Linked DNA regions of Lepisosteus oculatus. The protein of the gene in region 1 purifies or fractionates together with the protein of each later gene. This does not show direct contact. Links are inferred from orthologs where the notes say so. Each region holds a gene or a part of one and is shown in the gene's direction. Other genes may lie near its edges.

Evidence for each region.
Region 2: the proteins of map3k7 (region 1) and ripk1l purify together in Homo sapiens (affinity purification with western blotting; 5 studies listed by BioGRID, with this or other methods). This does not show direct contact. The link is inferred for Lepisosteus oculatus from reciprocal best matches to the Homo sapiens genes MAP3K7 and RIPK1.
Region 3: the proteins of map3k7 (region 1) and usp18 purify together in Homo sapiens (affinity purification with western blotting; 4 studies listed by BioGRID, with this or other methods). This does not show direct contact. The link is inferred for Lepisosteus oculatus from reciprocal best matches to the Homo sapiens genes MAP3K7 and USP18.
Region 4: the proteins of map3k7 (region 1) and irak1 purify together in Homo sapiens (affinity purification with western blotting; 5 studies listed by BioGRID). This does not show direct contact. The link is inferred for Lepisosteus oculatus from reciprocal best matches to the Homo sapiens genes MAP3K7 and IRAK1.

The regions. Positions count from the first base shown.
Region 1 is NC_090697.1:7,519,422-7,526,898, forward strand, and holds the start of map3k7 (mitogen-activated protein kinase kinase kinase 7), read left to right. Parts: upstream 1-4,470; 5' UTR 4,471-4,705; coding exon 4,706-4,766; intron 4,767-5,117; coding exon 5,118-5,206; intron 5,207-7,477. UniProt on the Homo sapiens protein: Serine/threonine kinase which acts as an essential component of the MAP kinase signal transduction pathway. Plays an important role in the cascades of cellular responses evoked by changes in the environment.
Region 2 is NC_090701.1:4,748,210-4,755,137, reverse strand, and holds the start of ripk1l (receptor-interacting serine/threonine-protein kinase 1), read left to right. Parts: upstream 1-3,911; 5' UTR 3,912-4,220; intron 4,221-4,727; exon of another isoform or gene 4,728-5,059; intron 5,060-6,297; 5' UTR 6,298-6,331; coding exon 6,332-6,483; intron 6,484-6,928. UniProt on the Homo sapiens protein: Serine-threonine kinase which is a key regulator of TNF-mediated apoptosis, necroptosis and inflammatory pathways.
Region 3 is NC_090702.1:9,053,648-9,061,612, forward strand, and holds the start of usp18 (ubl carboxyl-terminal hydrolase 18), read left to right. Parts: upstream 1-4,950; 5' UTR 4,951-5,189; intron 5,190-7,834; 5' UTR 7,835-7,859; coding exon 7,860-7,926; intron 7,927-7,965. Other genes in the region: pex26 (peroxisome assembly protein 26), read left to right, coding at 1-71. UniProt on the Homo sapiens protein: Interferon-induced ISG15-specific protease that plays a crucial role for maintaining a proper balance of ISG15-conjugated proteins in cells. Regulates protein ISGylation by efficiently cleaving ISG15 conjugates linked via isopeptide bonds.
Region 4 is NC_090697.1:75,465,882-75,472,721, reverse strand, and holds the start of irak1 (interleukin-1 receptor-associated kinase 1), read left to right. Parts: upstream 1-3,822; 5' UTR 3,823-3,959; coding exon 3,960-4,155; intron 4,156-6,840.

The DNA.
Region 1 (7,477 bases):
TGAAGAAACCGATGTTTTACAAAATACTTTTAAAAGGAGATCATATGGCTGTCATCCAGAAGGCACACCTGTGCCAGATGGAACAAGACATTGAGTTAGGGTTTAGAATTTACCTTAGTTTAACCTCTGAGTCAGCATTGTTCACAACAGATGTGATTTTGTTGCAGAAGTTAATGTCAGCTATTTCTAGTCTGTGACGTATGAAGTCCCTGTCGAATTCCAATAAAACTTGTAATACTGCTCCACCTCTATATGTATGCATGTCTCTAAATGTTCAGATGACACATATCATTCTGGTCCAGACGGTTCACGTCAGTTCAGGAAATTAATTATCTTTGAAGTGTAATGCAATTTTGTGTAGGGCAATGGGCACTGATCTCCCTAAAAGGCAGGAGGAAAAAAATGCAGTGAAAGACATCAGAAGTCACCTCAAAAATGATAAACAATGGTCACATTTAAAATAATACTTTACAGGTAAAAGATTTAAAAATAAACACAAAGAATCAGAAAACTAATTAAAGGGTACATTAGCAGTCTATGTACAGAATTGTTTGCAGTTTTAATCAATATTAAATATAGATCAATACAGATCTATAAAATAAAGCACAGAGTTTCATTCATCGTTATCTCAGTAATTGTAAGTCTATGTTCTGAGGAATGAAAAAGTCTGGAAGACATTTAATTGGTCAAGCCCCTGGGGATGAATAAAGTATTTTGAATTGAATCAAAAGACCTGCAACAGATTCACAAAGTTAACTGAAAAAAGACCCAGTCTTTGTTGTAGCAGCAGCTGTCATGTTACTGAACAGACATGACATAGATAGATGTCATTTGGTCACCATTGGAAGCAGTATAAGATCTACACCAGTGATGCTCTGCACCGGGTTGCAGCTGATTGATTTTTCATCAACAGGGATGATGAACTTGGGATCTTGAGTGAAAGTTTCTAGGCTAGCAGCACTGCTGAAAGCTATGCTGTACCTCTGCTTCACATGCCTTGCGCCAGGTTTTCAAATGCAGTCAAGTTGGGTTCTAACCCATTTCTTTCACAGATACTAGACAAGCATGTGCAGTACCTCCCCATTCACTGGTCTCTGTGCCCTACATGCCACACATCATCTCGGTTCAACCCCCAGTGTTCAATAGGGATCAAGTCATGCAGTGAATCGACGGCGACGAGAACTTGTGACATTCTAATCTTGCAGGAGAGCCTTTTGTACACGAGCAGCATTAATGCTCGGCTTTGTCCTGCGTTTGTCCTGCTGAGATGTGCGTCATGTCGGGATGAGCCTACAGGAAGGGCAGTAAGTGAAGGCCCAGGGCCTGATCAATGTTGGGGTGTGCAGTTAGGGTGCCATCAATCACTGGAAGGACAGGCTCCGTAGCTACCAGATGCTCGTGCCCAGAATATCACACTGACGTGATGATGCATCCAAGTTAGGTGTCATGACTCCCAGCCTGTAGCCTAGACTTGTGTTTTTCAGGTTGTCTCAGTTTGAGGTACAGAGAGTTAACGTCTATGTGGTGCCCGCAGATGTCTGTAAATGTCCTGTTAATTGTTTCTGTCTTGGCAACTCTGTAATTCATCGGCCATGACAATTACATTCTTGAAATTAAAATCTGAAGATGGAGGCAGTTAGGAGTTCAAGAGGAAGAGAAAGAAAAGGAGGAAGTGAATGTGTGTGCAAGGCAGCAAGGGGAGAGGACAGACAGCAGACCTTAGCAGTCCAGCGCTGGGGGTGGACGCTGCAATATCATATGTCTCTATTGTGGAAATTTTGTTATATCAATGTTTTGTTTTAGAAAATACATGAATGTATTCATGGTGTTTTATTTTAATAGTTTACTTACATTTACTCCTAGACGTCTGACGTATATTCCTTCTGTAATAAGATTTCTTGTTAGCAGGAAGGTTTCGCTAATCCTTTTAACTATGCAATGTAGCAGTCACATTAGTAATGACAGGAGAACAGTAAGATATTTGTCAACAATGTGTAAATCAAGAGTTCTGAAGTGGTGTACTGAAGAAATATATACAGATGATAGTATATTTCATAATCAAATTGTATTAACTCAGGGCTGTTATGTTAAATGCTCATACTTGCAGTTTTTTTTGTTCTGGTTGTAAATCTTAATGGGAAGAGAAAAGACAAAAAATGTTATTAAAATTGTATAATTGAGCACCATAATTTAAAAGGCAGCATTCAGGATATATTAAAATAATAAACTTCACTATTTCAACGGCATCAAAAGTACTGTAGTTCACATTCTTGCAATACTCGCTACAACCTCTGCTTCAGAAAGTGCATCCCAATATGAAACAAAAAAATCACAATTTTACTCATTTAAAAAAATAACACTGTGCAGGGAATGAAAACCAAAGAAGGTGCCAACTAAAGAGCAAACTACGGCAAATGTCACAAAAAACTGAGCGACAAAAGTTGAGAGTGGGGCAGGAGCCTGGGGCCTATACAGACAGTAAGTTTGCACATGGTGGCCAGGGTCTTTATCACGGGATCCGTTTGTCTTTCCTCTTCAAGCTTCCCCTCAATCTAAGGTCTTCCTAAGGCACAGGGTAGGACGGTGGGGAATCCACAAAGACTGAACTACACACAGTTTGCAGAGACACACGTCAATAATCACACGGTTCAGAGGTGACTTGTGGGATTGCTAGCCGGGAAATCTAGGTCTGACACCAGGGGGGGCCTCTGGAACAGGAGACCAATGGACACTGCTGCCAGTCTGTTGACTGGGCCTCCAGCCGTTAGCTCTGCCCACACCTTAGGCATCACCAGGACACACCCACCCCTCAGCTTTCGAGTCCTGATCTCTGGAGCAGGAAGAGGCTTCACAAGCCCCACTCAGGAAGAACTGAAAGAGAAGAATTCGGGGAACACGGGGTTTCACCAGAGGGCGGACTATAGGAGAGGACTTAGACATCACAGGGGGACTCTACACGGAGCAGCAGAGGAAGGCTCAGGCATCATCTTCCTTCCACCCTCACCTGTACTTGACTTGTACTCACACAACACTAGGAAACAAGGCTGGGGAAAGGCATAATGGACCACATGTCTCTGGAGGCCAAAGCTGGAGAGAGCACTTACTGCAGGTCATTTAGACCATCAACGTTTCTCTGCCTTTTGGCTAAGATCAAGTGTAGTTCGTGCAGTTTAGGCCACTGAAGGACCAGACGCGAGTTTCGTCTGTTTGGTCTGCTGTGGCAGAAAGAGCCAGACGCCGGGGGCCAGCTGGAGCTATTTTCGGAGAATTGCGCTGCTGGACTTGTCCTGTGGGACATTGGTTTTGGGAAACTGTAGTCCATGGGGCTCTTGTGCTGCTCCGTGTGCTCATGTGTGTCGCTTCTGGTTACTTTTCCATGTTTTCTTTTACAATTAATGTTAGACTGTACTTGACAGAGGAACAAAACTATAATGATGTAGATTAACTGTCTGGTCTGATCTGTGGTTCCACAGATATAAAGAACCTGTTTTGAGTGAAACAGGGTCTTAGTGACTACAAGCTACAACTGTCCAGCAGTTGAGGTCCGATACTATCTATCCGCAGCACAAACAACACACTTCTCTTGTATTTCTGTACTCAGCAGCACAGTAGACTTTGCAAATCCAGTTTAACTCCTCATTTTAATTTATTTTCATGCAGTCTCCTTAATATTGGTTTCCTCCTCTCCTCTCCTCTCCTGCACAAAAACAAGATACTGTACTCCAGATGGGCCCCTTGACTACACCAACAAAATGAATTTTAAACAATTGTATTTTTAAGAGTAATTCAACTGGCTGTCAATTATCCTTAATTTAAATAAGGAGTGTAAAGGAGTCTCTTAAAAGAAGCAAGATCCCATTTATGTTATTGTATTCAGTAGAATATACTACACTGCTACAAACCTCTATGCAGACGAATAAAGGACTCAACTTCAACCTTTACTCAACAACTTGGTTGAAAGATGATTTATGCGTGTCGCCCCTAAGGAAATCACAGGTGTCTCCGAAAGATGACTGGGAACTGGTAAAGACCCTACAAGCAGATCATGAAAACTCACATCAGGCTCCCTAGTCTGCCTTCAAGCCCCGGGGCTGTGACACTGTGTGAGACTCACCACCTTCCACCCCTGTGCTTATCAGACTTCCATGCATTTGAATGTGTCCATCTACTGTATGGATTTTTAAATATGCATTTAATATGAACATTTCTTAACCAATGCAGGAAACTAACGGGGCCCGTTAATTATTTTGCACCCCAAAAAAAAACCATGTAATTTCAAAATGTTAACCCCGGTGTTAAAACGTATACGCGTTTCAGACGAACCCAATGCAATCGTAAAAACTACATCTGTAACTAAGATCATAATGTGGTCTGTAACGGGGTATTTTTTCGGGCAATTGCAGATACCCCTGTCCGCCCCCCCCTCCTTCACAGCTCAAGCGCCGCCTCGGCGGGCCGGCTGTCGCTGTCAGTAGCGCCTCTACGGGCGGGAGCACGAACGCAGCGGAGCCGGAGGGGCGCCTTTCCGAGCAACACCCACTTCCTGGAGCTGCCGCAGCAACTGCGGAAAAAAAAAAATACTGTAGTCAATGGAAACTCGGCTTTAAACTTATATCGCCGGATCAAATGGGTCCGAGATACTTCTTCCTTTTTGGGAACGGGTCTGCTCGTACGCGCGGGTTGTAGCCGCAGTTCGCCAGAGTAAATGACACGCACCTCCGCTCAAGGCACAGCGCCGATGTGGGAAGCTCAGTCTGCGGCAAGGGGTAGTCAGTTCATCCCTAGGCTGTAGCCAGGCCGACAGCGGCCTAGGCGCTTAATAACTAATCGTTCAGTAACAGTGATTTTAGTAGCTGTAAATGCATACTTTTTTTTAACGTGAGGTATTTATCCACGTGTTGTTGTTTTTTTTTTAGGTTAACAGCATCTTGCTGTCAGTAGGCTATATTAGCAACGTCTTCAGACTTTTTTTTTCCAGACTGTTGTTTACGTTTGCAAAGTAATAATTGGTCTACCAGATCAGTTGTTTCTGTTGTTGCTCGTTATTACGATGAATCTTATGTGAACTTTTTCGCATTTCCGGATGTTTTTGATAACCCCTCAACTTTGACGAATAGCGATGTCTGCACCGTCCGCAGAAATGATTGAAACTCCACCAGGATACCCTTTCGAAGAAATTGATTATAATGATATAGAAGTCGAAGAGGTAAGGTTTTAAATAAGGGCAAGTCTTTTATCTAGGCCACTTAGAGAGGACTGAATTCAAGGGAATGTATAATCACTTATTGAAACATCATTTGAAGTCTGCACTTCCCACGGTTAGATGCAATCTTTTCTAGGGGGGCTGATTGATTCGTCTAGGCTTGTTTTGGCTAAGAAGTTAAATTTACTCCCCGCAAAACTGCAGCTCCGCGATTTATTAAATTAATATTTTTGGGATTGTGAAAAGGCTACGACGTTTTTTTTGTGTGGAAATAATCGGCTGAATGTTACATCTGCTGTGTACCACAGAATAAATGCATATAAGTTATTTTTCCTCTGCTCTCCTCCGCATATTTCGGTTATCGCGATTGATTTAAGAGCTGCAAGACCTGTTTTCACTTTTTAGCATTGTATTTTGTGTTGCACATCTTGTGTGAAGAAGAGAAAATCCCCTTTATGCGAGTGAATTCTACAACAGTGGTTTACAACAAGGCCTTCATTAAATATGTATTGAGTACTGACAACGTAGTTTACTGTGGTTGAAAGGGAAACAACTTACACACTATTTATTAATAGATATCGAGTGGAAACATTAGCATTTTAACCACAGTGCATTCCACAGAGTGGTGAATTGTAACCGTATTTGTTAAGTAGACTAAAACCCACAGTCTGTTTTCGGAATGCCCGCATTGCTCAAAAGAACAGCTTACAAAATAATAAACTCAGTTGCTCCTGCTCAATGCATTCGCAAAACAAGGAACTTAGAAAAGGTTTCGCTCTGGGCCAAAATTTGCTTCGATTATTATGCATTATGCAGCCAGATAATTTTCCAAAATCATACTTCAAACACTTTAGAAATGAGTGCCCTCACTCCTTACTAAGCCGTGCTCCGTTAACCAAGACAGCAGCTTCATAATGACTTTACAAATGGTGAGATGTGACTGTAGAAAATGTTAATTCTGGTGTGCCTGTTCTGCACTTCTTGTCATTCCCCGAGAGTGACATGTGAGAATGTGGGACATGCCAAGAAATGTACGCCTGCGAATTTGTGATTGTGTACAGGCCTCGCTGGTTCGTTTGACTCAGTCACACTGCAATGCTGCAGCTGCTCACTGAAAGAGAAGGGAGACATGCTATGGGAATTGTGCTGACAGGTGTGTACCTACGGGACAGCAGCAGGGCCAGAAACCGATAGGACACACGCTTTTTTGGAAAAAAAAAACAGTCCACCCACCTGAGGGGTCACTCCTGGATAGCAGCAGCAGCTACAGGTGATCTTGCAATAGAGCATCACGGACGATTCATGAACCCAATTATGGCCACCAGAAGTCCCAGGGTTGCCAGTGCCGGTACCTCTGCAATAGGAATGAACTCACTGGGCTGCACTGACTATTCTGTTCTATGATGAATTTCTCTTCTTCGCACAGGAGAAATGTTTGATGGTGGTGGAGTCATGCTGTAGACGAGGTGGGATTTTAATTTAGGAGTCTTTATTTTTGCTATCGGTTATCCATTGTACTGGCATTTTAAGGCTTGGCATCAGCACCACTAATAACCTAATGTTTTGGTACAGTTATGATCAAAACCCACGTCGCAACAGTCGCTCAGTCCTCCCAGCCGCGTTTTGGGAGCAAGCTCGTGTGCTGTTCTTTTATATTGCTGGCTTTAACCTAGTCCGGCACCTGTGGAAGAGGTTGGTGGAGACATGCAATGTGTCAGCATCTGCTCATGTGTAAAATTCAGCTTTTGTTAGGGCCTGGCAGGTGGTTTTCAGACTGAGTTGGACTAACCGTGGGGACACCAGCAAGGTGCAAGTGACTAACTATACCATTTCACATATACTCTGCTGGACTTTCAGACGTCATCAGAAACGTTTCCAAAAGTAATGTAGTTGTCCTTGCCCAAACCTGTATCTAGAATAAAGTTACCTTTTTCTTGTCTGATGTCTTGAAATGGGTTAGTTTTCTCATTTTAAGAGTATGCTTAAGTGAAAAGTTAGAGAATTATTTCTCATGTTCATTACTTTTAATTGTTCCTTACAGGTCCCTCAATTTTCTTTGCAAGGCGATCTTAACACATTTTAATATTGCTGTATTTTAAAATGCATTATTGTAGTGCTTTTTTATATAATTGGCATCCCTGTTATCCACCAAAAGAAATTCAGACTTTCACATTTTAGACTGGTGTTGACTGAGTTGTATTCCAAACACATGGGCACTTAGATCCCCTTATGACGCAATAGGGATTTCTGCACCTAAGTGCTTTGGATATAGGG
Region 2 (6,928 bases), on another chromosome or scaffold:
AATGCAGGAGGGACGGTTACGACAGTCACGTTTGTTCAAAGTGGACAGGTGAAACTGGAGGCCTTCGTTAATTATATTCCGCGGCATAAGAGAGCAGTGGAAAAATCACGGCATCACCTGATATCACCTACCATTCTGCCTGGCCCTGGAAGACTTGCATAATTCTGCAGCTCACTGTCATGAACAACTCTGTGGAAGAAGAAATGGAAAACATTGGAAAGCAGTGCAAAGGCAGCAGGTGTGCCGAAAGCACGGCCGTTATTTATATTAATGGCCACACAGTGCATTTTGAAACTAAAGTTTTGAATGATGAAAAGACGTTAGATAAACAAGGTATTGCTGATGGTGACTTTTCATTTTTATTTTCATTAATGTTTTTAACTGTTTTCTAGAAAGGAAACAACGCCCTGATAAAGAAATGGCTGTAAACCTCAAAGGAGTGTAACAGTGGGGACAGAGATTAACTCATATTCTCACACCTGACTGCTGCATCTTCCGTTTCCAATCATTTTAACTCTCGAATTTCCTCTGAAAAGAACTGTGCAAACACGTTATATGTACTGTGTCAGTTATATGTATACTACATGCATCGAAGTTTCTTTATCATCCAGGTATTAAAATTGTTGCTGAACCCTGGAAAGCATAATCCTCTGGAAACAATCCTTCTGCGACTGGAGAACGTCTTCCTGGTGTATTGTAATACAAATATATTGCATCTATCATGTACAGTACCTCATGGTACCACAGCGTTTCATATAAAGAGCATTTGGAATACTATACACAGAAAATTTCAATTGCTCTGATGCAAATTAAACTGCTCTGATGGCATCACTACAACAGCTGTCAAAAAATAGTTAAAAACTAAACGACGACACCCCTACAGAAAAGTTTAGAACATAACAACTTAAGAAAAATTGCAAACAAGATGACATTTGCTCTTGTTGCAGGTTTGTTTTGGTTTTTTTTTGCGATCTAAGTGTCGCATAGCGTCTTTCAGGACACTATGCAGACAGCCCAACCCGGAAGGGAGCGAACAGACACGGGGAGGAGACGAGGAACAGGGCTGGTAGACTAACAGGGGGGCGTGGCGAAGGTGCTCGAGGGGGCGTGGTCCGGGTAAACAGCCCAAAGGGTGTTCGTAGGGAAAGTTGCACCAAACCCCCTTTTAAATAAGCAGAAATGTATAAATATGTTAGATTTTCTGTAGTATTTTTATATGCAGACCTTCATTTGTATTGTCAGAGAAATAAGCTTTGATGACATGTATGTAGAAATAATTATTTTCAGATCCAGTACGTCCACGTCTTTTTTGTGAACTTAAGAATCTTAGCCACAAGAGGGCGACAGTGCCAATAATTCGTTTGGAAGATGAAAAACAGGTATTCGGGTACACTATATTCTGAATACAGAATATAAAACTAGAATCATTAACAGGAACAATAAAACTGATTTAATAAGCAGCATCTAACGATTCTGCTCCATAAATAATCCATTCCTTAAAGACTTTTCTTGTAGGGGTACAGCCGCGTCACCCAGATCTGACGTGAATCACACTCCTAGAAAAAGCATGGCAGCCGTTGTGCGCCAGCAATCTTTCAATTAAGCAATATTTCAGTTCAGGTAGGTCTGATTGTGTAAGATGAAAGTCCTCATCCTCAGGACATTCTACTCTTACAGATCCAGGGAGTTTGAATGAACTTTTCAATAATAATAATCCCTTACACTTATATAATGCTTTTCTGGACACTCCACTCAAAATTCTTTACAGGTAACGGGGATGATGCGACGGCAGCCATAGTGCGCCAGTACGCTCCCCACACACCAGCTATCAGTGGGGAGGAGAATAGAGTGATGAAGCCAAATAATAATACTGATATGTAGTTAGTTGTAACAGGTAGTAAACATAGTTAGCCATGTGTTTTGTTTAATTTAGTTATAGTGTTTTTACGTGACATGCGTCATGTCATGCGTAGTAAGGCTGTTGTGCGTCATTCCTGTTCCGGTAAGGCGGGAGAAAGCAGTATGGCGTAAGACCCAACAGCCTTGCTTTGCTGCTGGTGTCTTGGCTGTATGAACGTCTGCCTATACCTCTTGCTGGACCTCGTCGTCTTCGTTAAAACCCACGTTTACAATGCTACGACCTGTAGCACTGTTCCCCCAATCAACAGGCTAAGGTGTCGCGTTTGGGTATTCTGGTCAAGGGTAACACCTGCTTGATCACCCTGGAGACTCCCCACACCAGTACTGAGCAGGATCAGTGTGCCTAGCTTTATCTGACCAGATCTGCTCAAAGCCAGCTAGAAGATAGTAACCAAATACACAATACAAATGTCAATAGAAGCAGTTCGTGGCATGATACATAACATTAAGTCTCAGTTAAAAAAAAATATTGCAATACGGTGTGTGATCCATAACTTTTCAGTTAGATACCTTAAAAAAAACAGATATTTCCTTCAGCTGTCTTCTTCAGCTAAACGTTCACCCATTTCTTGCTGTTATTTTGTATTTTAATCAGAATTTGTTTTGGAAAGAATGACAACTTCAGAAGTGTAGTTATCTGAATAGCGTTTGGAGCCGAATTCACTAGGTGGTGCTATAAATCAAACAAGTGTATTCCCTCCTCAAAATTCAAACTGCGTTTTACCAACGAAGATTCTTTTTTACTGCTTTGGCATTCCTCTTTGTAAGTGTACCTTTTCTTGAATAGTTATTTGTATAAGTCCCTCTTTGTAAAATTGTGCTTATTCTTGAAGTTTTTTGTATTAGTAAATCTTATTTTGTTCGTCAAAAGGTATTCGCTCAGCTTTTTGAATGGCAACTCTTAAAAGGCTACAAAAAGGTGATCATGTCCAAACAGATACTTTAATAATTAAAGTTTATTTCGTTAATTCTTCTCAGAGATGGAGTGTGTAAACAGTGGACTCTCCGCCCATCGAGGAAATGGAGTTGCCCATTTCTACTCAACTGATTTTTTTTTCTTGCTGTAATCTTATCAAACATTAAAGTACAAATTCTTCCTCAAACCCTCACTGTACCAGTCTATTATTGTTCGGGCTTTGTAGGACACTTTCGGCCGAACCCTGCGCGACAAAAACAAATCGGTGTTCCCCAGCTCCCTTCCTTACAAAGTCCTTCGTGGATGTCTTTTTTTTAAATCCACACAATCTTCCAAAATGTAATCTTGGTAAAAACATCAAGAGAATAATACAAGAAGATAAAACAGCATGTCGCACTATAACCATGACTACACAAGACAAAACAAAAATAACGGTGAATTCCAGACTGCTACAGTATACAGGTCTAATAAGAATATCTTAAACTCTAATATTTATACTGAATATTAGAATACTAATTTTCTAAATGCTATGAATATGAATACATGAGATGTTGTGAATATGAATACATAAATTAATCTGTATTGTTGACATAAGTTCGTGCTTTTTATATACAGTATATTTGAAAAAGACAGGTGTGGTGACGGCTGTTGGTTAGCCGTGGTCACGTACAGTACAGTGTGCGGCCGAGATGTTTTCTCCCAGAACAGAGACTCCACATTTTGGAGGGCTGTGCGCCAGCGAGCTCTGAAAAGCTTCAGAATCGCGATTCACTGCTTCCTTTTTGAAACCGTAGACATCGGTGAAGAGAAAACACTCTTTTTCACACCTTTTTACCGTCACACCACGGATCTTGGGTGGGAAAAAAGGGCGAGCCTGCAGTTCCATTCAGTTTTTCATCAAAATACAGCTCTCCCACCCTCCGCAGCAGGCGCAAGGAGAAGAAGCAAACCATCAATATTCTCAGACTGTTTATTGTTTATTCGCTGGGAATGCACCATTCAGTTAACAGTATACCCCTACTTTCTCAACATATCAGTTTATTATAATTATTAAAGTATATTAATATAAGCATATTAAACACCGTCTCGGGCAATCCAGGGAACTTGCGAAGGGCTATACATTTTTCCCAGCCCCTTTCTGAGGTCTCCGGGAAACGTCATTAGTTAAACTCAGACGGCTCATACAGTCTCGGCGCCGCAGTCTTCTCAGGAATTTTATTTGATCGATTTTCACGTCTCGCCTCCCGTTCCTGAGAGCTTGTTGTGACAGCGTGGACGTGGACTGCGCTCTGGTCCGCTCGACAAAGGAAGGGCGCCGCCCTGCGGCCGTGGGGTGGTCTGTCTCACACCTGGCTGCCAGCCCCGGACACATTGTAGCCAGGCGGTAGGTTTAGCGCCGTGTTTCGCAATGCTGACCGGTCCTTGACACAACCTTAAATAACTTTACCTATTAAATTGTATTCCTTCCAAAGCAGGATGGCCTTAAAACAGCTGGTTCTTGTTACAGAAAAAAAAAGGTTTGTGCTTTCAACCCCTCTCGATCTCAGACACGGAATTGGACCTTGCCTCCAGCTCCACCCACGCGTGTTTGCCGGGAGCGTGGAACCGTTTTGCACGACATCTTCACACACACACAGCCAATATCACATCTGCCTCCATAAGTTATTATTTATTTTCTTTTTGTGTTACTTTACATATTCTTGGTTACCTTTATATTATATACATGCATACCTGTATACTTCTACGCTTATATATCCTCTATTTTACCGGCACTCATGAGGTTTATTAGTGCTTTGTCGCTGTCGTTATTAGTATCAGTACTATTAAAAGGCTAAAAAATAGGTAAACCGACATCATATCCAAACAGATACTTTTAATTCGGTGATTATGCTGGGAGATGGAGTATAAACAGTGGACTCTCTGATCATCGCGGAAACAGAGCTGTATTTTCCTGCTGTAATCTTATCCATCTTTAAAGTACAGTTCTTCCTCAAACCCTCAGTTTGCCAGTCTATTGTTCGGGCTCTGTAGGACGCTTCAGTATTGCTGGGTCATGCAAAAGAGAGTGGAGATCGGTTGCTCGGTGTCGATTGTTAGTGTCTGAGGAATCGACACCAGTGGGTTTTCCCTCTTGCTCTTGGGTTTCGTTTTGTCTGATCCCAGACCCGAATATTGAACAGGAAGTCTGAAAAGGTGCTTTAAACGACGGGGGAATGCGTAAAAGTAAGTGAAACTCTCGTAAATGGTCTTTTTCCGATTAATCGTCCTCTGCAGAGTAAGAGTTTTTTTTTTTTGTAAAGAAAAATAGTTTTGCTTTTAACCCTTTTTGTATGATGTAGGAACTAAGGTATTCCGTTTCAAATAAAACGCTAATAATAATGATGTCTTTTTCCGGGGGATGTAGGAACGGTTTTGTCTCATCTGTAGGCTGGGCATTTTGTGAACTGGACGTGTCAACGATAGATGTATCGACTGGTTTGACAGTAGTATTGGTTTTGAATACCTGTCCGGTATTTAACGCTTTCTAAATATGCTAGTCTTTTTAAAGGTAAAATATACTTAATAATGCCGATATTATTATGTGAATATTCACAGCCTTTTCTATAGGTTGTAGGCACTTTTCTGCTTCGTCAAACTTTCCTGGTTTGTTCTCTGCGAATACGCAAAAAGTTTTTCCTCTTGCAAAGGAATATTAGAAATAGACAAAAGTTAAGAACAAATACTCGATTACAAATATCTCCCATACGTACGTATGTTTCGTTTCCAAACTGTATTTAACAAATTTAATGTTTTCTTAAATAGTGTGGTTTTACCATGGATAGCGCATAGTGCCCTTATTTTTGCAGTTGTACGTCATAGCAAAGGAGGGACATTTTAACAAGATTAACGACTTTTAGATTCTATTTCATAACTAATAAGATTAATTAAGACCTAAGGGGGAGGTTGTGTAACCCAGAAACGAAAAAACTGAACCCGATCACGCATACCAAAGTATGAAGAGCGCACCTCCCATTTTCAAAGGAGCAGTATGTCTTTCATTGAGACAATTCACACATGGCAAATTTGCAGACGTACATTCGCAACCTCCCAGGTATTCTTGCTCAGCCCATCTGATTTGCTGTAGCCAGTTGTGTGTTTGTCCTGGCTTGGCTGGCAGCTATATGGTATGTGGCAAGTCATCGATTTCAGCTGAAGCTAAACGTATTGGAAAGCTTGCATGAGCATGAAGAAAGAACTGTTCAGACGGTTCTTCCGAGTGCTCGGCGAAGCCTGGAGGGATCGAATTGGGAAGGTTACGTGGGTAGCATTGTGATTGCTGTGTGGTGACAGGAGGGCGCGAAGCACTTGGAATTGAGGGCAAAAGCAGACACGTGTACTGTAACTGCGTTGTGTACTAGGCTGTTGCACGTTACACCGTGTTACTGTCGTACTGAGGCCTCTGCCACGTTGTTTCTCCGCAGGCTGTCTGTAGAGCAGCTTCTGGAGAGCGGAGCCATGGCTCTGGAGTCCATCCGTATGAGCTCCACGGACCTCATCAAGAAGGAACCCCTGGACTATGGCGGCTTCGGCCAAGTCTTCCTGTGCTACCATCAGAGCCATGCTCTGGTGGTCTTGAAAACAGTTTACACCGGGCCACCACGCAATGAGTAAGTCAGACTCGGCAGTGTTTTAAAGGTGGCTGTTCAGGATCTGTTATTCTCTGTGGACCTCTTTCACTGGTGTTGGAGAAGCTGGCCAGGATGATGGACGAATCGGAATAGAACAACATCTTGTTTTCTTAGGATAACAAGATACCTTTAGCTTGCACTGAGGTGGACGCTTACATTTTTGGGGTTCAAAACTTTGAATGCCAAAATCTGAAATGCAGTTCCCCGTGTCAGTAGGGTGTCGTCTGTGTATTGTCAGCTGGGTGCAGGGCTTCAGTTTTGACCAATAAAAAAGCTTGCAGGCCCCACCTGGATAGCTATTGTAACAGTTAAAATGTGAAACCAATGGCTTTGCTCTGATTGAAATGGATTGAAACTGCACTCTAAGCAAGATTGCAAGATTTTGCAAAAGTAGATGGCAATTTTAAAAATAAACAGAAAATGT
Region 3 (7,965 bases), on another chromosome or scaffold:
TTCTCCAGATGTTCCGACAGATGTGGGATACTATGTTTGCACCCTATTACAGAGCTGCTGTCACAGACTAAGCAACAATCCAGCATTTTTTCAAAACTTGGCCGACTTTCATTGCAGACTCTGAAGAACTACAGGTGGTCTCCTTGAGTAAATACCATATATTATTTATTTATTATTATTTTTAATCAGGCCCAGATTTTGCAAGAAGACCCGGAGAGAAGAGAAATAAATAAAACTGGACTGTCCTAAGATATACTGTGCTGCTGTGCAGGAGATTTCAAATGAAGGCCAATCCTCAGAGCCAACATACCTTTGAAACATGGATGCTGCTGTAAAGTGTTTTTCATTTTATTTTCTGTAATCTGAGCTGTAAGGATGTCTTTACATACAGGATATACAGTTCCTTCTAGGTTTGCTCATATCCCTGATACAGTAGGAACACAAAACATCATAGAAAGAATTTATGTATTGGATAATATGTCTCACTTAAAATGAATCTGAAAATGTTATGTTTTAATCTAAATAGCATTGGACAGAGTAAAGTCATATGTCATGATTGGTTTAAATCCAGAAAACATAAAGGTAATTGGTATTTTGTAAATCCCAATCTTGTATAGATTACACTATATGCCTCTTATAATCTGCTATGAAGTTCTAGTGCTTTTAAAGGGAGAATTGTAACCATTCCTCCAGCCAGGATTGCTCTAGTTCCTTCAGACCCTGGGCCAGTAAAGAACATTTATTTTGTGTGTAGCTAACCACGTCATTGTCCATTGGAATGCATGCTGAGGATCACTGTCATGCTGGATTGTGCATGGTTTCCCAAGCTTGAGCTTTTTTGCACAGGGAATTGGGTATTTGGTATTTGGGTATTATGGTTCTCCCTTAACCAATGAATATAAGCATAAGCTTCACATTTTTTAGCCAAACAACACTGATAAGCATGTCGAAAAGATCAATTTACGTATGTTTGTATGTTTTGTCTTATTATAAGACATGGTTCCAGTTGTCCATCAGATGTAGTCATTCAGTCACAGCTAAATGCACTATTGGAGGCTTCTCTATATATCTGCACTTCCCAAAGCAAAAAGTAAAGATTTGTTTTCATTGAACTTTATTTAAAAGAGTACTTAGAGGTGTGAAAAAATGTGTTTGTGTTTCCAATTGTGTTTTCTGAAATTCAGTTAATTATTTCGGACAAATATTTAATTCTAACTTTGCTATGTGCAATGCTTTATTATGATTATAACATTTTTAGAATTTTTTAAAGAAGTTACATTATCCAGGCCATATCTCATTCTGTTATAAGAGGTTTTTGTATGATTACTGTAAATCTAGAGGACATTGTAAATATTACATACAAAAACCAAAAATCCACTAAAACAATTAGACTACAGTGTACTTCGGAATCATTGGCACACCTTGATAAATATGAAGAAAAAAAGTATAAAACAATGAGTTCATTAAGCACTGAAATATATTTCTAACATAAGTAATTATGCTGAATTAATGATTAAATGAAATCAACCAAGACAAAAACTATTATAAATTATTTTCTCCAAAATAAAAGAAACATATTTTATTACAATTATTACTGTTTTTAGTACTTGGTGGACCCTCCCTTGGGAAGGATGATGGCAGTAAGTTTTTTTATATAATGCTTTATCCGATTGGTGAACACACTGTGAGGAATTCTAGACTATTCCTCCATGCCGAACCTTTCCAGGTGCTTGAGGTTTGTAGGTGTGCGCTTATAGACAGCCCTCTTCAGCTCAGACCGCAGGTTTTCAATAGGGTGCAAGTCTGGCGACTGAGTTGGCAAAGCGTTGATTTTCTTTTCTGTCAACAATTTCTTTGTTGATTTTAAAGTATGTTTTGGATCATGGTCATGTTGAAAGATCCATCTTCGGCCAAGATGCAGCTAAGAGGCAATCAGGATTATGGCCAAAATATTCTGCTACTTTTGAGAATTCATGATGCCATCGATCTTAACAAGGGCCCCAGGACCACTGGCAGCAAAGCAGCCCCAGAGCATCAAAGATCCCCCACCAAATTTTAAAGTAGGTATGATGCTCATTTCAGTATATGCATCCCTCTTCTTACGCCAAACATGACTGTGGCCAAAAAGTTCAATTTTGATCTGACCACAGCATCCACTCCCAGTCGATATTGGTATTTTGAAGGGTTTACTTTTTTAAAATTATTTGCTTTTTGAAGATCAGCAATGGTTTGCCTAATTTCTGTTGTTAGTTTTTTCAGCTTCCCCATGCTTACAGATGTCAAAAGGTTTTCCTGTGTGCGTTTCGTCATTTTTATACCCTAGGGAAACAGGAAGTAACTAAGCTACACACATTAGTTCCTTAAGACAAAATTGAACTCATACAAGTATTAATGTATTATTTTTTTCAAATGTGTTTGATTGTATTTGAAGGGTTCCAATAATTTTGGCACCTGTGTTTTTCAGATAAAACAGCATTGCTTGTTTGCAATTGAACCTTAAAATGAGAAAATGTTTTAGAAAAAGAGGACAAGTATTCCCCTAACATGAGCATTAAATATCATTATGTGGTTTATTTTATTAATACTTTTTTCTTCATATTTATCAAAGGGTGCCAATAATTTCGGAGTCTGCTGCATATGTACATTCCTGTACTGACAGTCCTTATTGATCTTCAGCCCAACTCCATTCAGTACCATTTGCTTTGTACTGTCCCTCAGTGAAAAGAATTACTTTCATCAAAATTTTGGAAGTGAAAGTATCGGTTTTATAAAATCCAACATCGTTTGTATAATTTCTTGTCAGTGAGCTATCCTAAATGGTCTATATAACAATGCTTGTGATTTTGTGTTTCTGTCCATAAATTCTTTGTACAAGTGGTGTAACTCTTCACTGCAGGAGTGCTCCACTATGGTGAAGACGATAGCAAATAGTGAAGTATGATGCTGGGTATTCATATTTTTCTGTAAAACAAAGGTTTCCAAGAGATATAATGACTGTAAATCCTTCATGTGATCCTGCTGCCCAGTGAAAATCCAATGTAAGTAGCGTAACGTGTTGCCTGTTTTACTTGGGTACACTCAAGGAAATTAAAAAAAATGTCTTATGTGTGATGTTTGAAAAACGAATTCTTCAACTTCTGCAGTACTCTCAGAAAGGTGGCTTTTGAATTATGTGTATCTTTTTCAGCACAACATTCATCAGTAAATTGCCATAGTAGCAATAGCAGTTAGCTCATCTGCCTGGCAGATCTACTGTATCTCTCCTGTGTCTGCATGCTCTATTCCCCCCTTCACCCAGTCCACACACATGCTGTTCAGATTCACTGGTGTCCCTGAATTGGACAATCCATCCCCAAGTGTATGCCCTGTGATGGGCTGGTGTCCCATCCAAGGTGTAGTCCTGCATTGTGTGATTCGGCCTGCCAGGTTAGGCTCTGGTTCACCATGACCTTCTTAAGGATAAAGCCGGTATTTTAGATGGCTGGATTGGCTTTAAAAAATGTGGAATATGCTTGAATTACTTACTGTATATCAGAGGGAAGAGCAGGCTATGAAATCATTGCCAAAGTCATTGCAGACCCCTGATCTTATCCCCACTGAAACCTTATTGGTAGATCCTAATGAGTGAGTGATGCAAAACGTTCAGTGTTGGCACAAATCTACACTGTATTTGATATTTTGATATTGGATCATTTGCACACGCCAGACAAAAAGCTGTGTGGTAGAATGTGCTGCTAGAGTCATGCTTTAGTCTCCAAAGAGTTTCCTGTTTCAAGCAATGCAATATATTGATTCATTACCTTGGTTGTTTTTATTTTTCTGAGTGGCCCCATACTTATTATTGTCAGAGTAGGTTTGTAGAACGTGTTGAACCATTAAGTATATTTAACATTTTCTTCCACTGACTGTTCAGCTGTAGCCATAGATTATTTCTTAGTGTCACCACTTGGAATATTGTTAACCTGTGATTAGTGCTGTGGACCCATGCTTGCAGTATAACCATGTTTTTTAAAATTCTTTTATCTTAACCAATTTAGTGAATTGAGAACAAATTCACTTTTCCAATTGTAACCTTCCTGGTGAGGAGGTAATTGTTTCACCTGGGATTTGAACCTATGACCTCTGCATTCCAGAGCCCTAACAGTACTCCATGCTGTCACCTAACTACAACCAGATAGAAGCCAAACAAATTAAAGACTGATGGCAGAAACTGATATGTTATATGTAATTGAAAATCTGTCTCCAGGGGACTTTAAATTTAAATTGTGGGGATGTTTTTTAATTTTGTGGGAAGGATTCAAAATGTGATCTTATTGTTAGGTTTGTCATTTATGTACAGAATGTCAAATTCATATAAATAGCTTTTATGACCAGTGTGCAGTATGGATACTTATTAGCTGATCTCTTCATCTTCCCCGTGATCCTGGTTTTATGCACAGAAAATTCATTTGTCCGAGAAGCACAGTCCTCATTTTTTTAAATACTCTCTCTAGTGATGTACTGTACAGTATACAGTATGAGGCTAATGTACTGTACATATATTGTCACGAATGTTGAGTTGTCATTCCATCATTAGCACTTTAAATACTTTGCAAAAACCTTGTGGATATAGGTTAGAATAAAAAACGATTAATTTTTATTAAACAGAATTTTGCTGTTGGAAGTAAGCCTGTCTGATAAACGTGCCCGAGGATGTCTTTATTCGGCACGCGAATGGGTAAAAAAAGGGCAAGCACACAGTTATCCCATTTTTGAGGATGAAGTGGTGAGAAAAAACCCTATACTTATTTCGTTTTATCTTGTATATTATATATTTAACCGAAATTCTAGTGGTGCAATAACAAAATATACAATCAGCCTGCCGTCCCGCACTTAAGATTTTTTTCTACCGGGGAAACGGCTAAGTTTCATTTTTAACTGCAATGAACAGTGTTGAAGAAGCGAAACCGAAAGACGAACATCTGTTTACTCAGTAGCTTGGGTACCTCAACTGTAATCTGTCAATACTGTATTCAGACACAGAGTTGACCGAGAGACGTTACTCATTACAAAACAAACACTGTACAGTAAGTTAGGATTAGATTTGAAATTGTATTTTTTAACGTGAATTTTTATTTTCGACATGACGATGAGCGAGCTAATCGAACTGAGGATGTATATCATTTGATATGCGAGTTACTCGAAATACAGTAAGTATTGTTTTGTTCTCATCTTTTTGTCACTTGACGTCCTGAAGCCTATGTCTGGACAATATTCTTTTTAACAGATTGGGGCATTTAGTATACAGAAGTCACAACTATAGTATTCTTAAAAATGACAATGAGCAATGCAGAACTATACTGTATGTACTTTTTTTTTCTTTGGGGGCTGAGTAAGGACATCACTGCGCTCAGTGTAAACTACTACTTATTATGTTTATTGGGCCATTTAATAATACCTTTGTAATATTTTTTAAATTAATGCAACAGAGTATTTTGTTTGATTCTAGTGCAACCGTCCTACAACTTATAAAGTAGTTTCTCTGGCCTTTGATAGTCTGTTTTCCTCGTGATATTGGTTTAACATGGTGACGTGATTAACCCCTGTGAATTTTAGTATTGCTCAAAGTCTTGCATGTACAATCCAATTGGAAATAATGACATTTTAGAACTAATAAAACAATTATTGTATTATTATAAATTAATATTAACCCATAATTGTTTTCAATAATTTACTGTAAGATCATTTAACAACAACAGGATTTTTGGCTTTTATATCTTGATTTCAAAATCTTGATGGAATGCTCTGCATTTCTGTCTTTTCTGGGACAGGAAAATGTGTGTACAGTACAACAATTTAAACTAAACTAAACTTTAAACCGCATATACAGTACATGGGAAAATTACAAACTGTAGAAATATAACCTTTTGATTCCAGTTTTCACTAGGATAGGCTGAAGTTCACATTGAACACTATAAGGTATTTGAAAGGGAGTTATTTTATTGTTACAATTATGTGGGAACAGTCAAATTAAATCCAAGGATTGAATGCTTTGTGAGAAGTTGGATTATTTGGTGAGAAGAGTTTGTTTTAACCTGATTGGTTAACGGGTAGCCTCCTGGCCATAGGGATGAGGAGACTTGAACCCCATTCAGATTGAGTGAACCAAGGGGTACAGTAGCTTTAACACGGAGATGAGGCAGAGGAGGCATGCTAGAGAGGATTTATGGAGCTAGTTTGGTGGTGATGGTGATCAGCTGCTGCTGTGCGAGATTGACATGTCATTATTATCCCTCCCAAACTTCAGTTAATAATTTCCAGTTTGAAAAATATATAGTCTCTGGCACAGTTCTGGTGAAAGAGTAACAGATCAGAGTCTTGGATAAGACAAATATTTATTAACAATAAAATACCATGACTAAACAACACAAAATGTTCCACAACATACACCAGTTACCCTCTCAACACAAGAGGGTACAAGATTATATATACTATATATTTCAGAGGCCTATGTTTTACTGACCCACAAACCTGAATGCTATCCCAGAAACCTGAAACAATATGTCATGACTAAACAGTCATTACATAGAAACAGAAATACACCCTGCATCATAAAAGTATATGACTTCGAACTAAAAGTCTTTTCTTGCAACATGGATGCTCAAAATTAAAAAAAAATGTCACCAGCTAGTAGAACATTTTTCATAATTTCTTCAACCAGGACAGCAGGATCTCAAGAGCAAGGTTCAGATTACCTACAGTAGCCTGAATCTGGTCTCCAAGACCGATCGGAACAAGGTCCTCTTGCATGACAGGGTTTGAAAAAGAGGAGGGTGATTGGAGTTCCTTCTGTCTGTGTCCCTCTTTTTTCTCTCTGTCTTCCTTATTTATACTGCTGTCTGTAGCTGTTGAATGTTTACAGTATATTTTATTATTGTTAACCAGAATAATACACCAGAAAACCCATATTAATCATCTGTGATTACCTGCCTTTAAGATCACCTGCAGCTAGGCAAACATTACAAATAATCCTTATTATTTCTGTGTTATGAGTGAGGCTTTGGACAGTGCAATAAGATGTGAACTGCAAAAGTTCCTGGATTGTAACATTTTATTATGTGGTTGGAGAAATAAAACCTGAATTTCTGTGATTATCTCATCAAGCTGGTAACAATAGGTGCATTCAATCCTAGTCCACAGTGGACGCAAGTCTACAAGACTCTTTTAGTACCAAGAGATTAAGATCAGCAAATTTGTTCTCGCCAGTGATGTATGTGTGACTGACAGCCATTGTGTTAACTGTAATGTCCACTTCATGTTCACTGGAATAAACTTAATTGTTTCCTTTCCATGGGTAAATTCTAATACTACTTTTACACAGGGTGTACAAATGTACACATGGTCAAAAGTCCTCCTTCAATAACTCAAAAATATAATGAACTCAAGTTTTGTAGTACCTTTGCAGACCTTATTAATCTGCTGTCCTGCCCTGTAGTGTATCAGTCTCTCTGTTGTTTGGTTTATAGGCTTTCAAACTATATGTACAAATTCAGAGCAGGCAAGCTTTGTTTTGTTTTTATTTTCATTATGAAAACTAGTGGTGTGATCATGCCAGTGCACTAACTATAAATAATTAAGAACAGATTGGTAATGGGACTGGTTATATCTGGTTTTATCACAGGTATTGATAGTGACTGCACCTTTCAGCAGAATTTTTCATCTTTCTCAAACCGCCAATATTGGTCATCAGGAGTCACCTCTTGCACCCCCAATTAACACCCCCCTTAGGTCACCCTAATGTTTGAATGTATCGAATGAATGTATTAAAGTACTATTATTTGTTTTCATTTATCAGACTTTTCTTCAAGATTGGATCAAACATGCTTGGCCGCTGCTTTACCAGAAGTTATTCCTTTCAAGATTCAATGTCCAGTACCAGGCTACCAGGTGTGTTAGCCGAGGAATCAACATTGAATTGATTAAAAA
Region 4 (6,840 bases), about 68 Mb from region 1:
GGACGCTCGAGAGGTGTCACGTTAAACCTTTGCAAGGCACTAGTGAGACTGCTTTGAGAACACTGTGTGGAATTTTTCACCAGGTTACAGATCCATCCTTCCATTTTCTGACCTCCTTATCCAATACAGGGTGGCGGGGAGGAGCCTGGGGTCAGTTTCAGTTTTCTGGTTGCTTTGGGGAGTCGGATTGATGAACTGCTGGCCCGCAAGTGAGCCAGTCGGGTCGAACCCCTGTTCTCAGGTTCGTTCTCCAGCCCTTCTGCTCGACAGGGCGAGGCAGAGCACGCAAACAGCGCCACGCCACTCTGGCAGCAAAATTCAAATCGCAACAGCTTTATTGGCACGACCGGTCCATGACAGAAAATGCCGGAGCCGATAGAGTCAGTGCAACATCTGCGGACATTCACAACACTGACACACAGACACATCCTAGGACCGTCAGGACGACACACGACGCAACCACCTCCCTCCTGCTGCAGACCGCGGAGCGCGCCTGTGACGAAGAGCGCGGGGGGGGTCGCCGAGCTCTTTTGGCAGTTCGCGCGGGATGCACTCAGCATGACTCAACTGCTGCCGCTGCTGCAGCAAGAACAAGCACACCATTCAAGTGGGTGGGAGAGAGAGAGGCGGGGGGGAGGGGGGGGGCTCGGTCTCCCCCTCTGTCAGCGCGCCGCTATTCAGGTCGCTTCCAGGCGGCCCACACGGCTCGGATGACAGTTTACATCCCCGTTTCTTAGAAAGCTCTGCTGCACAGAGGCCCTGCGCGGTTCCTCTCGCGCTCTCAGAAGAGCATGCTCTCTTATGAGCCTTTACACTGCGTGGCTGTAATAATAGCAACAGCAGTAACGATCTGCCCTCTGTGCTGTGCCCTGCCTGTCTTCACGGCTGGCAGTGAGCTCACCCCGTTTCAGCATGCGGTTTGCATCCTGGGTTGTTTCTAGCTCTGTATTAATTTAGCATCATTGTACATCAATAAATGAAAAATATATGGATCCCGCCGGTAAAAGGTCTGGAGTGCAGTACAGCGAGAGAGATCATGAAAAGGCAAAGCGCGTTTCGCCAAAAAGTGTTGACTAAATGTAATAGGAAGTTGGGTTCATATTTTGCACGTGTGCTCCTGGATTTTTTTGACAGCCTGCCTGTCTATTATTTTATTGATGGGTGATCATGGAGGCTGGCATGGTGGCACAGCAGTTATTACTGCCTACGGCTCTGGGGCTCCGGGTTCAATTTTTGGGTTGCTGTCTGCGTGGAGTTTGCATGTTCTCCCTGTGTTAGCGTGGATTTCCCCCGGGCGCTCTGGTGTCCTCCCACAGCCCAGGGACATGCTGGTGGGTTAATTGGCTTCTGGGAAAACAGGTCCTGGTGTGAGTGTCTGTGCCTGTGTGTGCCCAGCAATTAACTGGCTTCCCATCCAGGGTGTATCCTGCCTTCGCCACCTGCCTGCCGGGATAGGCTCCGGATTGCGACCTGAATTGGATATAAAGTGGGTGAAGAAAATGCTGATGATTATAGGACAAGGTACCTAAACAGCTCATCCCCGTTTCTGAACCCCCTCCCTATGCTCGTCCTTCTGTATTCCTAGATTGCTTTGATGGGATTGAGGCCAGAGCATTAATCTCAAATCTGCATTTCTCCCTGTGTCACGGAAACAGCTCTTTGCACCCCTGGCAGCATGCTTCAGAGCGCAGTCGGGCCGGAAGCAGAGGTGCTGCACCCCCACATGTCTTCTCCAGCTGCGCAGTTCAGTCTGGACTCTCCCATTTGTTTTTCCAGCCAAAATCGGATGACAGACAGGACCACCAGCTATTCCTTCACTCTTTTTTTTTTCTCGTATCACGTTTAGCACGTGATCAGCTCTCTTCACAGTCCAAGGTGCACGTTGCCATAAACAGCAGAAACAGAATGATAAGCTGGGGGTACTGCGGAGTTCTCGGTATTGGAGATTCAGTGTACAGCATGAGAGGCAGAGTCTCCACACTTGAAAGTGAATTCTGCCATTTTTCATTTCCTGTCAGCTCTGCTGTCCGGGGGACTGTGTCGGCTTCACTGCTTCTTCTGCTCTGTTTTCCTCTCCAGGGGTTAACAGCTCTTTGACGTCGACAGACACATGAGATTCGAACCCACAACCCTTACTACTCCTCCACTCTCAGCTACTTTGCTGTACCCCTCCTGATGTCTCCGATTCCCAATTCCTGGACCTCAATGGAATTTCTGTGCTGTCTGATTACTAATTGCCATTGATTGCTCCTTAAAAGCATTTAGGGGTGGAATTCACTCCAAAGATGTTAAATGAAACGTTTCTTAACACAAATTGATTTGAGAGCTAAAAATGGTTTCTGCTTTACAGACGGCATCTGTATGGACATGATCTGTGAGACCTCACAAATATTTTGACTCTCTGCAACATTTAATTAGTGTTTGCTGAAATCAAATCAATCAATCACGGCATTTCTGTGGATGGTTCTGGGGCGCGAGAGAGCTTGTTATAATAATAATAATAATTGCTTACACTTATATAGCGCTTTTCTGGACACTCCACTCAAAGCGCTTTTACAGGTAATGGGGATCCCCTCCACCACCACCAATGTGCAGCCCCACCTGGATGATGCAACAGCAGCCATAGTGCGCCAGAACGCTCCCCACACACCAGCTCTCAGTGGGGAGGAGAGCATAGTAATGAAACCAGTTCATAGAGGGGGATTGTTAGGAGGCCATGATTGATAAAGGCCGATGGGGGAATTTGGCCAGGATGCCGGGGTACACCCTTACTCTTTTCGAGAAACACCCTGGGATTTTTAATGACCACAGAGAGTCAGGACCTCGGTTTTACATCTCATCCGAAGGATGGCGCCTGTTTACAGTATAGTGTCCCCATCACTGTACTGGGGCATTAGGGTGAGCGCCCCCTACTGGCCCCACTAACACCTCTTCCAGCAGCAACCTTAGTTTTTCGCAGGAGGTCTCCCATCCAGGTACTGGCCAGGCTCACACCTGCTGAGCTTCAGTGGGTTGCCAGTTGTGAGTTGCAGGGTGATATGGCTGCTGGCTATATCACTGTTGTTATCTTTAGGTGTGGTTTTTCCAATGACAATAAAATCTTTGGAGCATTACAGCATATTCATAAATATGAGTAAAAATAAAAACATAAATGCTATTTCTAGTTCAAGCCACCCCACCTCAGAAGACCGAATAAATGGACATATATGTTATTCGGAAATGGGAGTCACTTTATAATAACAGGTAGCTTGTGATGGATCAATTGGAAATTTGGTGTTTCTTCCTGCAGAAATACATCTCATGCCCAGTTTGGAGTCTTAACCGGCATTTTAACTCACTGTTGTACTTGGACTATTACCTGTGACAAAAATGGTCGCTGGTGACAGTTACAACACACCCAGACACTATGTGGAGGCTGAAGCGGATATTTGAAATGAACACTGATATTTCACAGCACAGGGTGCCCATCTGTCTGCGGCAGTTCTCCGTATTTTACGACACCAGTTTCAATCCACAACACGATTCCAGTGGGCCTGAGAGCACTGTGTTACGTCGAATGTCTTCCCACTGGAACACGCCTCAAAATCAGCATTATTATTAGTAATCTCTCCGCTATGATTCTCTCTCTATATATATTTTATTTTTTTGAGGGTGAGAGAGCGGTACGTTTGTAAACATGTCATGGTTGGGATTGAGCTGCGAGAGGACCGACCGAGACGGGAACGCAGCGCCTTGAGATGTCGCGTATCCCTGTGCCCGGTGCGCCACACTCAAGATGGCGTTTCCGGCCAGGACCAGGTTTCCATGGTTTCCGAAGCGCGTTTCCGGAGTCCTCCCCGCCTCCTCGGAGCCCAACCAACCCCTTCGAAAGAAAAAAAAGTCCTTCTGAGTCTTAAAGGGGAAGTGAGTCAGTAGCGTGGAACCTCGCAGATGGAGTCGCCGCCTCCGCCAGCGGAGCGATGGTTTTGGACGGGACCGTTGTAAGTCCGAGGAAGGCGCTGGCCACTTCTCCCGGAAACCGCCCGGAGCCGAAGCAGACGAAAATGTCCGCCGGGAGTATCGAGGGGCAGTACCTGTACCGCCTGCCTGCGCACATCACGACCGAGTTCTGCAAGGTTATGGACAGCCTCGACAGATCGGACTGGCTGCGTTTCGGTGAGTTAGCCCCCGTCCGAACTGGCGGTCCCGGTGCGGGACCGGCGGGGGTTGGTCCGTCCCGGGACTAGCCGGCTAGCGGCCGGTGTCTAATCGGCTTCCCCCCGGGCTGAGCTGTGCGCTCTTGCGGCGCACGGAGTGAGACAGAGTGGCGGGCTGGGCTGGGCTGGGCTGGGCTGGGCGGGACGGAACCGAACCGAACCGCTCCGTTTCGGACAGGTCCACGACACCAGGCGGTCCCGTTGCAGTGATCATGGGGGGGGGGGGCAGCAGGTTAAACAGGACCGGGGTCTGTACAGTGTGTATGGTGGACTTTCCATTCTTAAACTCGCATTCAAAGGCAGCAAAATCGGATTGATTGCCGAGTTACAAGAAATTATGTTAAAATACGATGTCGCGTTGTTGTTGTTGTTGTTGTTATGGGAGCTTCCGTGGCGCTGCGGAGCTCAGGCTGGGGGACTTGAAGATCCCGACTAGAGGGGTTGCGCAAGTGTGTTACAGAGCGCTGCTCCGGGTCAGAAGCGGCGCTTTCTGCGCTCTGCAGCGCTGCGCCGGTGACATGCCTTGATTTTCACTTGCGATCCGGGCACTGCGTGGTGCTCCACGGCCTGAACTGCCGTCTCGCCGGCGCCCCGGTCCCGTGGCACTACAGGGAACTTCGGTTCCCCCTGAGGCCGGGACGGGTCCGGCTCCGGCCCCGTCCACATCGGCCCGGCTCATCTCGCCTCCCTCCCCACGCGAATTCTTGGCATTCCGAGCGTGGCGCATTCCACGGAGCCTGCGTGGAGATCCCCCCCCACACCTCATCCATCCCACTCCGGTCTGGTCCAGTCCAGTCCGGTCCGGTCCATGTTCACTGTGGCCAGTGGTCCCCTCCCGGCTACATGACCGTGGCTGAGCAGAGATGGACAAGCTGCAGGTCAGTTCCTGCAGTCAGGCCTGCTCCTGGCTGCCGGGGTCAAAGAGGAGAGGGCTGACCACTCCCCCCACCCCAGAGAGCTGGAAGCAGAACTGGTCACAGGGTGCCGTGTTTCGAGACATGAACACGGGGTGTTGAACATGGTAGAAAGGGGAAGTGTGCCCTTCAGCACCCCTGGTGCTCTGTCTCACGGTTCAGCAGTGCGTAGGGGTCTGGGTGAGGCAGCGGCAGTCTTCTTTTAGGCCCGGTGTTGCCACTTTGCCCCTGATAGGAGTTGCAGTGCAGGCTTCCACTTCCCTGTCAGTGACCCTGATCAGTTCTCAGTCCTGTGGACACATCCAGGAGGACCTGGTGAGCTCTGAGCCCAGAGTAGGATTAAGGGCGGGTGTGTCCAGTCCTGGTCCTGCAGGGTCAGTGTGTGTCTGCAGGGGGTCCAGTCTGGTTCTGTAGGGTCAGTGTGTGTCTGCAGGGGGTCCAGTCTGGTTCTGTAGGGTCAGTGTGTGTCTGCAGGGGGTCCAGTCCTGGTTCTGTAGGGTCAGTGTGTGTCTGCAGGGGGTCCAGTCCTGGTCCTGCAGGGTCGGTGTGTGTCTGCAGGGGGTCCGGTCTGGTTCTGTAGGGTCAGTGTGTGTCTGCAGGGGGTCCGGTCTGGTTCTGTAGGGTCAGTGTGTGTCTGCAGGGGGTCCGGTCTGGTTCTGTAGGGTCAGTGTGTGTCTGCAGGGGGTCCAGTCCTGGTCCTGCAGGTCGGTGTGTGTCTGCAGGGGGTCCAGTCCTGGTCCTGCAGGTCGGTGTGTGTCTGCAGGGGGTCCAGTCTGGTTCTGCAGGGTCAGTGTGTGTCTGCAGGGGGTCCAGTTCTGGTCCTGTTGGACTGGTTTGTCTGTGGGCTTTGTTCCATCTTGACTTTGGTCAAAAACAGGTGTTGGGGTCCTCTGAACGAGGATGGGGAACCCCTGACTGGCTCACACGCAGTCAGCTGACTGGTTTTAACACACAGGTGGCTGCGCTGTCTCAGGAGCAGTGATGTCAGTGCTGTGTGCCCCTGAGAGAGGACCTGGCTGTGCCTTAGGGGAAAGTTTGACTATTTTTATTCCTTTTGCTCAGGCATAACGACACTTTTTCCTCCACATCCCATAGTGTTGCGAGGAGCTAGCTGTGTAAATTCAGTATAAACGCAGTGATATTTGTCTGGATCCTATGTTTATCTTGCATTGGGCTGGTAGAACAACGTATATTACTTTGTAAGCTGTATGTCTCCTGTAGCAGATTGAGAATAAATGTCGCAGCGCCACTGATGAGGGCTTCAACATCTCCCCTCTCACTCCCCCCCTCCATGTACCCCCCCCTCACGCACACATAGATAAGATAAGATCACCACAGACAATGTCTTACATTAGGAATTGCTGACCCTGCTCTCCAGGAGACACACAGACAGGGAGAGAAGCTGGGGGTCAGAGCGCAGGGTCAGCCATGTATACGGCAGTTGGAGTTAAGGGCCTTGCTCAGGGGCCCAATCCTCTGCCGGCCATGGGATTTGAACCGGCAACCTTCCAGCCACAGGCGCGGTTCCTGAGCCACAGAGCCGCTGCTCCGCCACACTCAGGGGTTTCAATCGGAGTGTCACAGCCCGAACCGGAAAGGTCAGGTTTTAAAATCCGGGCTGATCTGAGTCCTCCCGTGTCTTAACCGGCGTTCAGCTGTGTTTCAGGACTCAGACTCAGCAGCTGCAGCGATCGTGCTGGGCTGTGCGTGCGTGCGTGGGGGGGCCGGGC